Linked DNA regions of Caenorhabditis elegans. The protein of the gene in region 1 purifies or fractionates together with the protein of each later gene. This does not show direct contact. Each region holds a gene or a part of one and is shown on either strand. Other genes may lie near its edges.

Region 1 (7,853 bases):
TGCAGTAATTTTAGGTGAAAATACAAAATTATAGTTTTCAAGTTTTCTAAAAATTCACATTTGAAAAAAATGACGAAAAAATGACGAAAAAGCTTGTGCAAATTTGGCTCCTTGTGTGTGTGTGTGTGTGTGGAAGGTGCGTATGAAATAGCACTCTAGTCACGAGAGACACAGATAATGAGTGGGGAGAAAGCCGAGGAATATAGTGGGGCAAAAGACGGCAAAAGAAGTGAAAAGGGGAAGTGTAGTGTGGCGGCGGAAAGAGGACAGTGGAATTGGAATAAACAGGGTTTTTGTAAATGTTGATGATCAGAATCTGCTGTTACAACAACACATATAGTTATTTTTTCCGGGCGTTTGTCGTCGACAGTTTCGAAACAATTAATCCGATTAAATCTAGACTTTTTTTGGAAACACGCTCTATTGCTAAAAGGCTTGAAAAATTGGTTTTATGGTTTTATTCAAAAACTATTTATTTCAGAAATTAACATCCTTTATAAGTGAAAATATTCTTGGGTGTCTCCTCAATTGTCACTTTATACAAAACCGATGGATTCGACATTACGGATTTCAGCTTCTCGAACATATAAATTGCCACGTTTTCAGATGTGCTCACAGTTGTCTGAAATTGGAAAAAAGTATTTATCTTGGTTTTGAAACGCGAAATTGCGGTCTTGGGTCCTTCCGAAATTTTTTATGATAACAAAAAAAATTTAATTTAGATTTTTTTCAATAGCAAAATTCTCGAATCTTTTAAACAAAAAACATTTAAACCATACTAGATGGTACTGTAGCTGAAAAGTTTCGCTCGTGCCAAGACCCACACTTTGAATAGCATTTTTAATGACGCATAATCTGTCTACAGTACCTTAAAAAATTCCACGTCTTTATCCAAATTCCTGTGATCTACCGTATCCAGCACTAAACTCATTTCTTTTTTCAGCTTTGCCAGGTCATACACCATTCCACTCGTCGGATCAACTTCTCCGCGGAGCTTTACCTGAAATTTTTCGAAATTATTTTTATTTTATTAAAAAATAAAATTTTTAAACCTTCCAAACATAATTATGTCCATGACCATTTGAATTATTGCATTTTCCAAAAGTTTCCTTATTTTCAGCGTCGCTCAGCTTTTCAGAGTGAAGACGATGTGCTGCGGAGAACGAATCGACTCGTTCCATAGTTACAATTGGCATTCTGAACATTCAAATAATTTATTTTATTAAAAAAAAGAAAAAAATGGAGAAAAATGGAAGAATTATGTGTGTTCAACGAATAATTTATATACTGGCGCTGGTGTTTGCAAATAATTGATTACAATTATGATATGATTGTCATCGTCTCTCTTTTCAACTAATCATCTTATTACGACAGCAGGATTATAGTTTCTGCATCAAAATACGCAATAATTTCAAGCGAAGGATTACTGTAGTCGTGTTAAAATTTTATATTCGGAGAATTTTGAAATTTTAAATAGAAAAAATAGTGCAAAATATTTATTTTCAATTTTAATTAGGTGATTTCAAAACAATGGACTGATATTTATTAAGTTTTCACTCAAAAAGCAAATTTCTGTGCCTGTAAACTTTTTCAAATCGAGGCATGCGCCTTTAAAAACTACAGTAACCCTTGTCCGCGAAAATTCGAAATCAAATTCATATTTCATCATTTTCACTCATTCTTCTTCGTTTTTGTGCATTTTTTTTCCGAATTTTCGATCAAAATTTTGATTTTAAACATTATTTTTAAACATTCCGTATCTTATTTTCAGAAAAATCACAGCAAGACGCGAAAAAAACAAATTTTAAAAGAGTTTTGCGTGGAAATGCACGGATATCAAGGTATTTCGTCAATATATTTTCGCTCAATTAATTCTAAACAATAATTATTTTTCAGGCAATGATCCGAATTATCGGCGGCAACCTCCCTATCGCCAATTACACGTTGATACACGATCTCCGTCGAGTTACTCTCAACAATATGTTGTGAGTGAAATTTTAAAAAAATCAATTTAAAGTCATCATTAACATGAAGAAACTGTTGATTGGGCACAAGTTAATAAAAAATAACTAAGAAAACCAGAAGATGACGTCATCTGACCGTTCTCCGCACTTTTCATGGTCAATCTCCGATATCAAGAATTCTCATCTCATAATGTCTGCCGTCTCTTCAAAAATCTACATTATCTCATACATTGTCCTCCTAGAAGGTGTCGTTGTGGAGGGAGGGGAAAACGAGGGCGCCCATATTGTCGGGCGCTCCTTGAATAAAAAATGTACGTTTTTTTGTGCAGACTCTCCACGCTTTGCTTCTCCTTTTTCTTCATATTGTACATATATACGTATATTTAATGCACAATGTCTCTGCGTCTTGGTGCCCTTCGTCGTTTTTTTTTTCGCTGGAAACCACCCCAGGAACCGCCACCGCCACACCACTACACCGCCCGTCTTCTTGTTCATGTCTCTGCGTCTCGTGTTTCTTTCTCTCTCGCAACGAACTCTCTATCGATTGGTCATGTCGACCTCCGTCCGTGTCCTCCGACTTGGGGTCCACTTTTTGTCTGCGTCGCGTATTCTAGCGTACTGTGTCACTGACACTCTTTGTTTCTTATTCCTCCACGTCTCGATCAGTGACAGGGACTCTTGTAGTTTTGGAATTTGATTTTTTTTAATTCTCGGATTTACGAAATTTTTCGTTGATGTTTTTGTTTGAATTCGAAAACTCCACTCAAAAAACTATTTTTTTCTATTTTGCAACTAAAAAACGGCCAAATTATTTTGAATAACCAATAGGTTCCACCATTTTGGCATACAGTTTTTCATTGTTTCGCAATTTGAAGCATTATGCGTCACATTTTCAGATTTGTTTTCTGTAAAGTATTAAATTATTGATTTTTCCGCCAATTTTAGAATTTCGGCGAAATTTTGCCGGGTTATTAAGTTTAGATATCTAAAAATGTGGCGAAAGGTGTTTCAAATTAGTGATATAACAAAGAACAACCAATTAATACACGATCGTTTTTTGTTGCAAAATTGCAACAAAAAAAATCTAAGCACGCATATTCGGTAATTTCGGACAAAAACTCCGCAGATACTACTCCACCTAAGATTTTCGTAGAATTTCCGAGGTTTTATAATCTAAATTATGCACTTTCCAACTTATCATTAGAGCGTCATTTCTTCGTATCGCTTGGCTTAATGTATATATATAGTCCGAACCGTGGTACAAGACCGGACTATTCTCAGAGAGACCCGTTCTCGTATACATTTTCCATTTCTATCCTTAACTATATATCCCTTTCCGAGAAGATTTCTACTAGAGAAAGCCTGTTTTACGATGTTACTCTGGGTTTCACCTGCTTTTCAGCTTCAGGGCTAAAAAACCAACCGAAAAAAAATTGGCTGAAAAGCTTAAAAATTAAAATATTATGTTTTTTTAAGTGCTCCAGAAAATTACCGTACCCCTACCTTTGCTCAAAAAATTCGATTTATCGGCCTTCCAAGTTTTGAAGTATCATATCTTTTGGTTTCTTGCTCTTTTGATTCTCTGCTTGAAGCTCCGAATCTCTTAGACGCGGAAGTAATGTCAATTTCTTTGCACCAATTTTTTATTGGATTCTGTTCCATAAAACTCATAACATTTTTCAGCCATACGAGGCGGATCCGGGTATGAACGGGGACGGTTGGCAAGGACCTGGGCGTGGAGGACCACATCACATGAATGGTGGCGGAGGAGGACGACGTGGTGGAGGTGGTGGTATGCACAATCAAAGAATACAACAGAATCCCCATCATGGTAAGATTTGATTCGTTTTTTGGGTGACTAGAAATTATTTAAGAAATTATTTTAAAATTATTAAAGAAATAAATTTGCTGCTATTTAGAATTTCAAATTATATGAAAACTAATTTTCAATATCATCAAATCAGCAAGTCTGTAAAATTCGGCACCTGTAGCGATTACTGAGATTTAAAAAAATGATTTAAAAATTGATTCAAAATTCAAACTTCTATTTTTCAGGTGGAATGAATCGTATGATGCCACACGGATTCCGACCACAACAAGGACAATTTATGCCTCAATATCCTCCACCACCACCAATGGGTGGAATGCCTGATGTGATGGATATTAATATGCGAATGGATGGTATGTCATTAGGATCGACACCATCAGGAATTCCTGGACAATATGGTGATATGGGTCCACCGCCAGTCCAACAATGGAATCAACCTGCTCCATTTGTACCTCCACCTCAACAAGACGATCTCTATGATCCTTCGGGATATGGTGGTGGAGCTGGTGGTGGTGGAGGACATCATCCATCTCATATGCCACCATATGGACAACGTGGAAATAATCAGAATCAATACGGGAATCGAATGCAAGGAGGTCAAGGTGGTTATCGAGGGAATCAACAGAGGCAGCAGCAGCAACAGCCTCAACAGGGATTCAATATGCCACCAATGATGGTTCCACCTGGTCAGCCTCCATTTTATGGTGGAAATCAACCGAATCATCATCATCAACAACCCTCATTTGCTCCGTCGCCATTCTCAATGGGTGGAGGTGGTGGAGGATCACAAGGAGGACCACACGAACAGCACGGACCAGGTGGAAATCAGAATGGAGGATTCGGAGTTTCATCATCATCAATGGATGATTATTCAATGTGGACTGATGAGAATGATGAAGACGCGAAAAAGAAAAAATCGTTGAGAGATAAGGGATTGAGTGGATGGGGTGATGCTGATGTATCAAGTAAGTTTTCTGAAAATTCTGAATATTAAATTCTTAATCTTCTTGCTTCCAGACAGTAAACCAATTCGCCGTTGGATTGTGCCAGAAGGCCAAGAAGAAGACTTTGAAACGGCAATGGAACGATGTCCAAGTCATTTGAAAAAGAAAGCATTGAATGAAGAAGCTCTTCGTCGACGTTTAACATCTGAAAATCCACAAATAGTGGCACAAGCTCAACAACAAGCCGAAGAAGAGGCGAATGCTATGATGAGGATTGGACGAAGACCCATTGTTCCCAGTGGATGGGGTGATATTCCATCTGAAATTAGTACTGACAAGAGTGGTTCGTTTTTTCTTTTTAATCCTACTTCCGTATTTGGTGGTAAAACCATTAATTTATTCGTTTAAAATTAATTATACCAATTTTTTTGTTGCGTTTTCCGTTTTTTTAAATATTTTTTTACATCGAAATTGATGATAAAATTCATAAACAAATGAAAAAAAAATCTTCATGTATTTTTTATGCATCAATTCAAGGTGAAAATTGTAAGAATTAGTAAAAACCATTAAAAACTCAACAAAAGGGACGAAAAATGTTTGAAAATTGGCGAAAATAATTGAAAACGATTTAATTTACGGTTTTGCCGCCAAATACTATTTAAAAACAGTTTTTCATTTTTATCCAAAAAATGTTTAACAAAATTGAAACATTATACGATTGGCATTTATAACGAGAAAAAATGCAATATTGTACTAAAGTTTCAAAAGATTCAGAATTCGATCAAAGCTCGTCACGTGGTTGGGATGAAGGAAGTATAAGCGGTGGTGGAAGTGGACGTCATCCATCTCATCATCAATCAAATGATAATTCAATGTGGAATAGTCCATCAGTTGGAGGAGGTCAATCAAATAGTGAAACACGTAATCCATTCTTTGCTCAACACATGCAACAGCAACAACATCAACAACAACATCAGCCACACTATGGAGGTTATGGTGATAATGGGGTGCTTGATGGTGGATCATTGTGGTCTGCTGCTGTCATGGATGGTTCGTACCAGAAAATAGAATTTAGGAATAGAATGGTTAGAGGAGGCGGAGCTCCGACTGCAACCCTGCCGCGCGTCTTTTATGTCGACAACCCAGAATTTATTTGTCTGCACGATTTCCCAGTTTCTGCTAAATTCTTGATCCTGGACTGTTTTCCTTCTGTATTAACCTAAAAAGCTAGTATTTCAAGTAAAAATCGATTAATTTATTTATGAAAACCCCATAATTACTGTTTCCCTTTTAAGTGGGAAATACAGAAAGAAATGAGGGAAACGGTCCAGAATACAAAATTTTAACAGAAACTGTAAAATCGCGCGTAGTCCACCGGAAATCGACATGAGATCTCATGTCGATTTACAGTGGACTGGAGCGGCGCCCCAAACTATAGCTTTTAGTTTCCCCGTAATTTTTTATTAATGAATATTATTTTTTAATGAATATTTTCTTGCAGGATCCTCAATGGTACCACCACATCCAACAATGGGTGTCGGATCATCAGCTTCATCGTCATCAATTCCAATTGGCATGTTGATGATGAGCGGCAGTGGAAATGTTGGAGGCGGACCACCATCCTCATCTTCATTGTTGGACGAGGATGGTAGCCAGAAGAAGCTGGCTGAAAATCTGAAATTAGCCGTTCAGAAGGGTCATTTGGATATTTCCCTACTCTCACTTCCGCACATTCCGCCCAACGTGCTCGACTTGCTCACCGAAATTTTGGCGGTCATTCCGCGTTTGGACGACTATGAGGATGAGCTCAAAAAATTGGTGTGTATTTTATTGGGATAATAATATTACACAGACGCAAAATATTGCGATTTTTGCGGGTCTCGCCACTACATATTTTGTTAAATTCACAAAGGTGTGCACCTTTAAAGAGTACTGTAGTTTCACATTTTCGTTACTGCGGATTTGGAATTAATTTTCCACAGTTTTTCTCACGATTTGTTAGTTTGAAAGATTTTTAGTTAATTGAAAAATCGAAGAAAATTCCGCAGTAAAGAAGGTTTTGAATCACGGTACTATTTATAGGCGCACATACTTTTGCATTGAGCACACATTTTTCGTGTCGAGACCGGGCACTGTATTTATTCTCAAAAAATCGCAAAATTCTGTGTCTATAGAATGGTGGTGAAGAGCTAAAAATTAAAAAAAACTAGAATGAAAAGAAACATATTTTTAAATTACTTTTTTAAGGGAGAAAATCGCCCTTCGAACTATGACGAGGGAGCCAGCAAAGAGGAGAAAGAATCGTGGATGAGCAAGGATCAAAAGGTAAACATTTTTGATGAAAAAGTACGGTACCAGGTCTCGAAGCGATCGAAAAATTTTCACGGAAAGAAGTGTGTACCATTAAAGAATACTGTAGTTGCTACGAATTCAGCATAATTTTCGATCGTTTCGAGACCTGCTACAGTATCTCAGAGCTAAAGATCGTAAATTTCCGAACCTGGGTTATCACAAAGAGTTTTTTAAAAGATTAGAGTTTAATGAATAAAAATAATAAAATAAAAATTACAGAACGATCACGACAAAGCAGTAATCGGAGTAGTGACTGCAAAGATCGAGGTGACACAATTATCTAAAAAGATCACCGAAGCTTTGATCGAAGCTGGGCTTCTTCCACCACAACCACAAACATCTACATCTGCAAATACATCTACCAATCATCTTAATCATAGAGGAGGACCACCGCCAGGATCCGATGGAGGAGCTGGTCCAAGTACTTCACGAAGTGGTGGAGGTGGTGCTGCTGGTGGAGACTCTTTTAATAGTAGTGGAGGTGGTGGACCACCTGATCATTATTATGATTATTCGTTCCTTGGTTAGATGCTGATTTATTCTTTTTTTTTAATCTGAAATCAAATATATAATTATTCAGTTCGTTCTTTTCTGCTGCTGTAAATTTAATTTTCTTCTTTTGAAAAAGTCTAGAATTTTTATGCCAAAATTTGCATTGCTTGTTAGTTTTTATTTTATTTATGACTCTTCTCGTATTCATCAATTTATTTTCATAATTTAACTTTTTAAAATCAATATGTGTTAGTTTGATCCCACCCTCTCCTG
Region 2 (7,642 bases), on another chromosome or scaffold:
GGGCATCTTACGGGATCACTGGTGCAAAGTAGGAGACAATCAGGCTTTTAGAAGCAGTGGACATCCCACAGGTTCCCTAATAGCAGCGGACATCATACGGGCTTAATAGAGCAGCGTTTGCTAAAGCAGCGGACATGCCCCGAGCCCAATAGAGCAGCCGACATCTAATGGTGTTCTAGAAGCAGCGGACATCTCACTGGCGTACAGAAACAGCGCCCATCTTACGGGCCCCCTAATAGCAGCGGACATCCTGTGGGTTCCAAAATATCACTTTATTCTGTTGGACTTGCCATTGGGAAACACAAAAAGGCATTGTGGGTGGGGGTGGGTTGAAAAACAGGACAATCATGAGGTTTTTTTTCAGATACTAAGAGAAAGACAGTTTACAACAAAGTGTACCAATTGAGTGATAAGGTCGTATTTAATTAGAGCAGAGGGGGATAAAGACACAAATGGAAAGTATTTGGAGGATCGAAAAAGCATTGTGTGGCTAGTATGGAAAATGGCTCAAGAAATTTGGAAAAAAATGGAAAAAAAACTTGGTGAAAATTAAACACCTAACATAATTGGAAATATTATAAACCTGGGCTTGAAAGATATTAAAGTATTGATTGATATTGATAATTAGGGGAAGGAAAAACATGAAAATCTCAGGGGGCAGAGGAAACGGGAAAAATGAAAATCGAGATGCATAGATAACAAGTGGCTGTGAAATGGCAGAGAATCCGTAGTTGGAGACTTAGGCAAAATACATGACGTTGTTCGAGTCGGGATGAACCTGGAAAAAGTTGAAATTAGTAGGTTAGGAAAGCGTGGGTATAGGTGTAGGTGTAGGTGTAGGTGTAGGTGTAGGTGTAGGTCTAGGTCTAGGTCTAGGTCTAGATCAAGGTCTAGATCAAGGTTTAGGTCTAGTTCTAGGTTTAGGTCTAGGTCTAGGTCTAGGTCTAGGTTTAGGTCTAGGTCTAGGTCTAGGTCTAGGTCTAGGTCTAGGTCTAGGTCTAGGTCTAGGTCCAGGTCTAGGTCTAGGTCTAGGTCTAGTTCTCGGTATAGGTCTAGGTCTAGGTCTGGGTCTTGGTCTATGCTTCAAGGACTGCGCTTCTAGACTCCTAGGCTCCTATGCCTCAAGCCTCAGCCCAGATCCTGATCTCAGTCTAGATAAATAATCTAGGCCCAGATCCTAGCTCTATGCTTCTGCCTACACTCTATCTCAAAATCCAAACAATGCTCACCTGTACGGCCTTGGCCATGCTTGACAATGTTGTATCCTCCGACGACGTCCCCGAAGGTTGTGATCCTTCCTCTCCGGATCCATGATCCCTATCGACCAAGTGATAACGAGCACGGAACGCCACCAGATGTGCATAGTACGCCGGCGCCGGGATCGACACAGACCTCGTGCATCTTACATAGGTATGACACATTTGGTAGGTCAACTGTTGAAGCTCGTCGGCCGTCAGATCATTGTCATCCCAGAGCACATGGTAGTGAGATGGTCGGGATGTTCCTTGGATACCAGCGTGGGAGCAGAGGAAGAAGTCGAATTCCGTTGGATGCGTGATTCCCACATCTACAGTTGTTCCTGGTGGGATGTTGAATGCTTTTCCTACTTGATCAGCTTTATCCGCGGCGAAGAGCCTTGTGTGATGTCTCTTTTGCACAGCGATAAATGTGATTCCTGGCTGGTATCCACTCTCAAGCATCACACAAGCTTCACGAATTGCGCGGAGCTCATATTGGAGCACATTGAAGAGTTGACCCTCAGACACTCCATCTCTGTAGACCACAATTCGGGCTGGCTTGAACCTCGTGTTACGGTAGAACTGGACAAGCAACTCTCGAACCATATATGTCAGATCCGTAATGATCTCCTGACGGTGCTGCTGGACCCGAACTGTTGCCGCATATCTACTCGGGTGAGCATCCATAGATCCTACCACTGCGGCGATGGATGGCTTACGGGTATCACCGGCTGCTGGATGGGTGATGTCGCAACCCAGGAAGATGACGGGCTCGTTGAAGATCCGTGGACGCACGTTTGGCAGGAGGATGCTGTTGACTCCACCAAGCTTCACATTCATCTTGAGACAGAGGTTGGAGAGTGTCTGCGGGGTGGTTCGGATGGCGTTCTTGGCCTGGACGCACTGGGTGGCGATTCCGAGGACGGTGTCTCCGACGCGTTTCACTTCGGCTGAAAATATAGAGCTTCAGATGGGGTTGAAGAGGTAAGGATATAGATGATCTTGGTCCCAAGATTCAGAGCCCAATGATCTAGGCCATAGATCCTTGGAACCTAGGATTCCAAGAGCCTAGCAGCTTAGGATCCCAGGACTCCATGATCTAAGATCTAGATCCTTGGAACCTAGGAGCGTAAAGCTTACACCAACACCCTAGAACTTTCACCTACAATTAATCAACTTACCATAGATCGGAGTCTTTCCTGGCAGCACCACCACAATCAACTGAATCGCCGAATAGGTCTGCTTCAAGTACTTGAACATCGGCTCCACCTGCTCCACTCCAGAAGCATATTTGCAGAACATAGGGGTACCGATGATTGGCATTCCAGCGTCGGTAGAGATCCTTTGCAATTGAGTCGTGAACATCCTGAGATCATTTTCCTTGACATGAGATTGCTGAGCAAAGCATGCAATCGCCCAGGTACGGACTTCCATTCCAGTGTGGAACTGCTTCCCGCGCATATCCCAGACTCCCTGGTTCGGAAGGGCAGTTGTGGCACGATGACGACCTCCATAGAGAAGCTTCGGAGCCGAGAGCACACGTCCCTTGACTTCAGTCATTGCTGGATTGATAGTGATTCCGAATTCATGAGCAAATGGATCCGCGGAGAGCTCAGCCTTGCTTACTAGCTTACAAATCTCACGCTCACGCTCTGGAGCGGAACGAGCCGTGGCCTTGATCATGGTGGACGTCTGCACATCGGTGAGCTTCTTCAGACAACGCTGTCCTGGAACAATATCGCAGACCTCTGGTGGCAGGTACGTATGCTTCTGCTCCTGACCGACTTGGAGGCATGGAAGGTGGGGGTACTTCAGCTGGATACGGTACTTGTCAAAGAAGTACTTGGCTACAGTACACTCAATAGTTTGGCCAGTCTCCAGTTGCAATGGGAAGGTCTGGGTCTGGGCCGGGCGGCGTGTGACGTTGCAAACTCTGTACTTCCGGCGCACGGCTCCACAATGGGTGATCTCAATCTTGAGTCCACGGATCTCTTTGGTGAATTTGACGCGTTGAGCATCGGAGAGGGCCCGACGCTCGGCGAGAGCTTGGACTGGGAGCTCGAGCACCTCGGCGACGAATTCGATGACTGGCATCGCGCGGTAAAAGGCCGTGGCGGAGACGTCAATGTTGAGCATCATCTTCCATTGGGATGGTCGGACGGATTGATGGAATCCAAACCATACTTCGCGGCCTCCACCGAGTTTGCTCTCCTGGTGCATTTGCATGCCGGGCTTCATGACGCCTAAAAGATATAGTTGGAGTATTGAAGTTTGTCTGGGAGCGTAGGAGCCTAGAGCCTAGATCCTAGAGCCTAGATCCCAGAGCCTAGATCCTAGATTCTAGATTCTGGATCCTAGATCCTAGATCCTACACCCTAGATCCTAGATCCCAGATCCTAGACCCTAGACCCTAGATCCTAGATCCTAGATCCTAGATCCTAGATCCTAGATCCTAGACCCTAGATCGTAGATCCTATACTCTAGATCCTAAATCCTAGGTCCTAGATCCTTAACCAAGCAACTTGAGATCTTACCTGGAGGTGTGAAAAACGACCTTCCAACCGGGGTGTACTTCAAACTTGGCAAGTGGCGAAGAATCACATCGATCGACTGAACGGCTTCATGTGGAACCTGCCGCACTCTACCTTCCATGGCATCGTCCAGAGCTGACAGACAGACCTGACCGATCCACTTCATCGTCACTGAGAACTTCCGTTCCACTGCTGAATCTCCAGGCAGCGTCACCTCAAAGTTCATGGGCTCCGTGCCAATTGGTAGGGGCTCCCGCGTGTACATGTTACGCTTTCCATCGTAGACTGGTCGAATATTGGTGAAATATTTTGAGAAGGAGGAGATCAGGCAGCCGATTACCTCGCTGAAAATGATTAAAATTTCAGAGCTGAAGTTTTGAAGGGAACCCCGAATCAATAGAAAAAGTACTTACCGATTAACCCGTCTTGGGCACTTGTCCGGAAAGACGTCAATTTGATAATGTTGGACTGAACCTCCGGGGATCCGTACTGCAAAATGATTGGCTCGCAGGAGGATGGATCGGCCCTCGACTCCATGGTTCGGACGGACTGGGCACTGGAATTGGACGCCTGCGTCGGGTTTTGTGCTGAAAATTGGAAAATTAGAGATTCAGGAATCTTACAGGAAGACTAAATAAAAATCAGGCCTGGAGCTAAAGTTTCTGGGCTTGCCTAGGCTAAGTCTAAATTGAAAGCTTCAACAGACGCTGAAGGTCGGAATTTGATTTAGGCTCAAGAGTTGGCTTTGGTTTAGTCGGGTGGTATTTACCTTAGGCTTAAATTTGATGGCGTAGGTTTAGGCTTAGGCTTAGGTGTGAGTTTAGGCTTAGGTCTAGGCTTAAGCTTAAGCTTGGACTGAAATTTCCGGACATTCTCTAAAAATTTTAATAGAATTATAGCTAAAGCCCAAAATTCTAAAAACTTGAAGCTCAGCCAATGTGAGCTCACATTCTAAATTTAAAGTCCAAGTCTGAAGTAACTTCAGTTTTTTTTGTAAGTGTCAGATTTTTCACTAGATTCAAGTTATTAGAGGCTCTGGTTTAAGTTTCCCAGTTCTGGGCTCCAAATATAGTTTTTGGGCCCAAAATCCAGCTCTAACAAGCCCAGAAGCTTAGACTTCCTGCTCCACATCGAGCCAAACTCAGATTTAAGTCAAAACTTTTGCACAAAATTCAAAACCTTACCCAATTGCTCCGTGAGCCGAGCCGCCCAACTGTGAAGAGCTCGACGTTTCTGCGCCACCATCTGGCATGAAAGACGACGATGTCAGCGAATCGCCGGGCATTTCTGAAAACATTTTATTTGATAATGAGAAGCTGCACGAAAAAGAACAAAACGGAGCAGCACACCCAGACACAGAAAAAATGTGAACTTTAAGCATGAAACCCCATAATTTTTGGTTTAAAGTGCAGACATACTTAAGTGGGAAAAATCAAAAATCTCTCTGAAATCATAGAGGTTATTACATAGTTGGCAACTTGAGAAAAATCGATAAAATGCCAAAAAATTTTCGATTTTATTTAGTAAATTTGTTCAGAGTATTTTAAAATTGAAAGTTCGCTGTGGAAAATATAGAAAATTTTGGCAAAATTAAAGGAAAATTTGCTGAGAACTTCAAAAATCTAAAAAACCACACTAACTTTACTATACCAATTGGTAAATCCAAAATTTACCTAGATTCCTCAAAAAACCTAAGATCTATATAGAATTTAAACTGAATTTTTCGAATTTCTAGTTAAAATCTCAAAAAAACTAGTTTAGACCTCCAAAATCGGCTTCAAAAGTCATTGCGAAAGCGGGTGTTCCCTCGGGGGAAGGAATGCCGTCAACGGGCTAGCTGGCGCACTTTCGGTGCACTGGCGTGTTTTTCGATGCACCCCAAAACTCAATTAGAAAAGGGTTGGGGAGCGTGGGGAATTTGAATTGTATAGGGGATAAAATTTCGATTTTCATATGGAAATTTGGGTTGAAAATCTTATTTTCTAAATGTTAAACTTAATAAATTAGAGAAAACTTTAAGCTTTTTAAAGTTTTAATGAGAAAAATCAAAATTAAAAATGAAAACTATTTTTAAAACTGAGAAAATGAAAAGAGAAACCCCCTAATCGCAAGAAAAACGATTGACCAACACAGCTGGCCTCTCAAAAATGCGCGCGCGCGGGTAATCTCGGACCACTAACCGAAAATCGATAATTTTCCAAGTCTAGGACCATTGTGTACAGGCAGAGGGAACATAGACGCAGAGAAACAGGGAAATTGACAGGTGGGAAGACGGTCCGTTGGGAGTGTTAGATGACGGGACGCGATAAGGAGACGCAGACACAGTTTTGGGGGCAGACTGTTCGGGTAGGGGGAGGAGGAGGAGGAACGTGGGAAAATTGGCAGCGAGCCAAGGTTAGTTTGAGCCGTCATAACTCTGCGGTAAGTTGAGATATTAAAAAGTTGTCAACTAAGAAAATATAGAGAAAGTTGTGTAAATCATTTTGCCTGTTATTAATTTTTTGTTATATATTCGAGGCCGAACAAGGAGGCGAAGACGAGTAGTTTATTATTACATAACTAAGGAATAAATAGAAAGTTAGTATACATAGATAATGAGTTCACGTTACACGATCTTCATATCCACGTTAAGGGTTAGGTACACGTAGATACCCAACATCTCCCCTCTTCAATGACAAACGAGAGCTTTGGTGAGGAGCCATCCACGAATGTCTTCTGAGGTTCTCACGGACCACCCTCCAGTGTGACCGTCGATATTGCCAATCCTTTGCACACGGTACTTCGGTGTTCACATCCTCCAATTGCGGGTTCCAAGTTAGCCACACTTCCCGTACCAATCGAAATATTTTTGATGTCTATCCACCCTTCACCAACAGACTAAAAAAACGTTGCTGCCTGAATATTAGACCCAACCTTGAATCATCCACACTGATTCCGCCTGTTCCACCATCAACCTGTTGTATCCCAGTTCCTGGTTGTGGATCATGTTATGACCAATAACAATTTGTGCAATCGTCCAATGACTGAGCATTTGAAACGCATAGGTGGCCTTCACTCGCATCTTCAAAAGAGTTGAGCAATGATTCCTTCTTCTTTTCGACTTCAAACCAGAAGCCGCTCCTGTCCACCTTGACTGCAACTGCAGAGAGCACGGCAGGTGCCTCTTCCCAAAGCTGACCTGATCCACCTCAGAGGTCTTTTCTTCCCAGTAGACATGTGTAGATCAAAACAATACCTCAGAGGTCTTTTCTTCTAAGTAGACATGTGCATGAAGTCAGTGGTGCAGTGAGCCCGAAAGATCCTGATCGCCAATGTTATATATTCGAGGCCGAACAAGGAGGCGAAGACGAGTAGTTTATTATTACATAACTAAGGAATAAATAGAAAGTTAGTATACATAGATAATGAGTTCACGTTACACGATCTTCATATCCACGTTAAGGGTAAGGTACACGTAGATACCCAACATTTTTTATTAGCTTTGATGCTTTTGGAGATATTTAAGTTTTAAAATTGATAAAAATCAGGTAACCTGTCCCTACTTAGAGCTATCATAACTATGCTCAAAGTTGAGCTACAAAAAATTTGTAAATTAACAACTTATAGAACAATTTGCGTAGATTATTTTGTTAATTGACAATCTTTTGCTAACTTTTGTAGATTTACAGATATTCAGATTTTAAAATATACCACCTTCGTTGAGCCGGTAACTAGCAAAATATAGAAAAATTTAGGAACATTTTTAGTACCAAAAAAACATTTTATTAAAATCCACGCAACAAATTTCAGATTATCAAAAACACGACAACAAGACATAATTGAAAAAAAAAATTAGCAAATTGAAAAATCAGTCCTCCAATGGTAAAGCGCTTC

What was found. Proteins that work in one complex are often made in the same cells at the same time.
Region 2: the proteins of ain-2 (region 1) and alg-2 purify together in Caenorhabditis elegans (affinity purification with mass spectrometry, with the first as the bait; one study listed by BioGRID). This does not show direct contact.

Annotation. Positions count from the first base shown.
Region 1 is NC_003279.8:4,651,702-4,659,554, forward strand, and holds ain-2 (ALG-1), read left to right. Parts: upstream 1-1,825; coding exon 1,826-1,841; intron 1,842-1,896; coding exon 1,897-1,985; intron 1,986-3,641; exon of another isoform or gene 3,642-3,647; coding exon 3,648-3,795; intron 3,796-4,019; coding exon 4,020-4,757; intron 4,758-4,809; coding exon 4,810-5,079; intron 5,080-5,504; coding exon 5,505-5,786; intron 5,787-6,237; coding exon 6,238-6,554; intron 6,555-6,983; coding exon 6,984-7,061; intron 7,062-7,307; coding exon 7,308-7,616; downstream 7,617-7,853. Other genes in the region: ptps-1 (Putative 6-pyruvoyl tetrahydrobiopterin synthase), read right to left, coding at 485-622, 869-1,000, 1,053-1,205.
Region 2 is NC_003280.10:871,574-879,215, reverse strand, and holds the start of alg-2 (Protein argonaute-1), read right to left. Parts: upstream 6,005-7,642; coding exon 5,950-6,004; intron 5,565-5,949; exon of another isoform or gene 5,436-5,564; intron 5,057-5,435; coding exon 4,954-5,056; intron 4,357-4,953; coding exon 4,183-4,356; intron 4,114-4,182; coding exon 3,773-4,113; intron 3,730-3,772; exon of another isoform or gene 3,529-3,729; intron 3,482-3,528; coding exon 2,420-3,481; intron 2,189-2,419; coding exon 1,230-2,188; intron 779-1,229; coding exon 740-778; 3' UTR 1-739. Other genes in the region: fbxc-51 (F-box C protein), read right to left, coding at 7,617-7,642.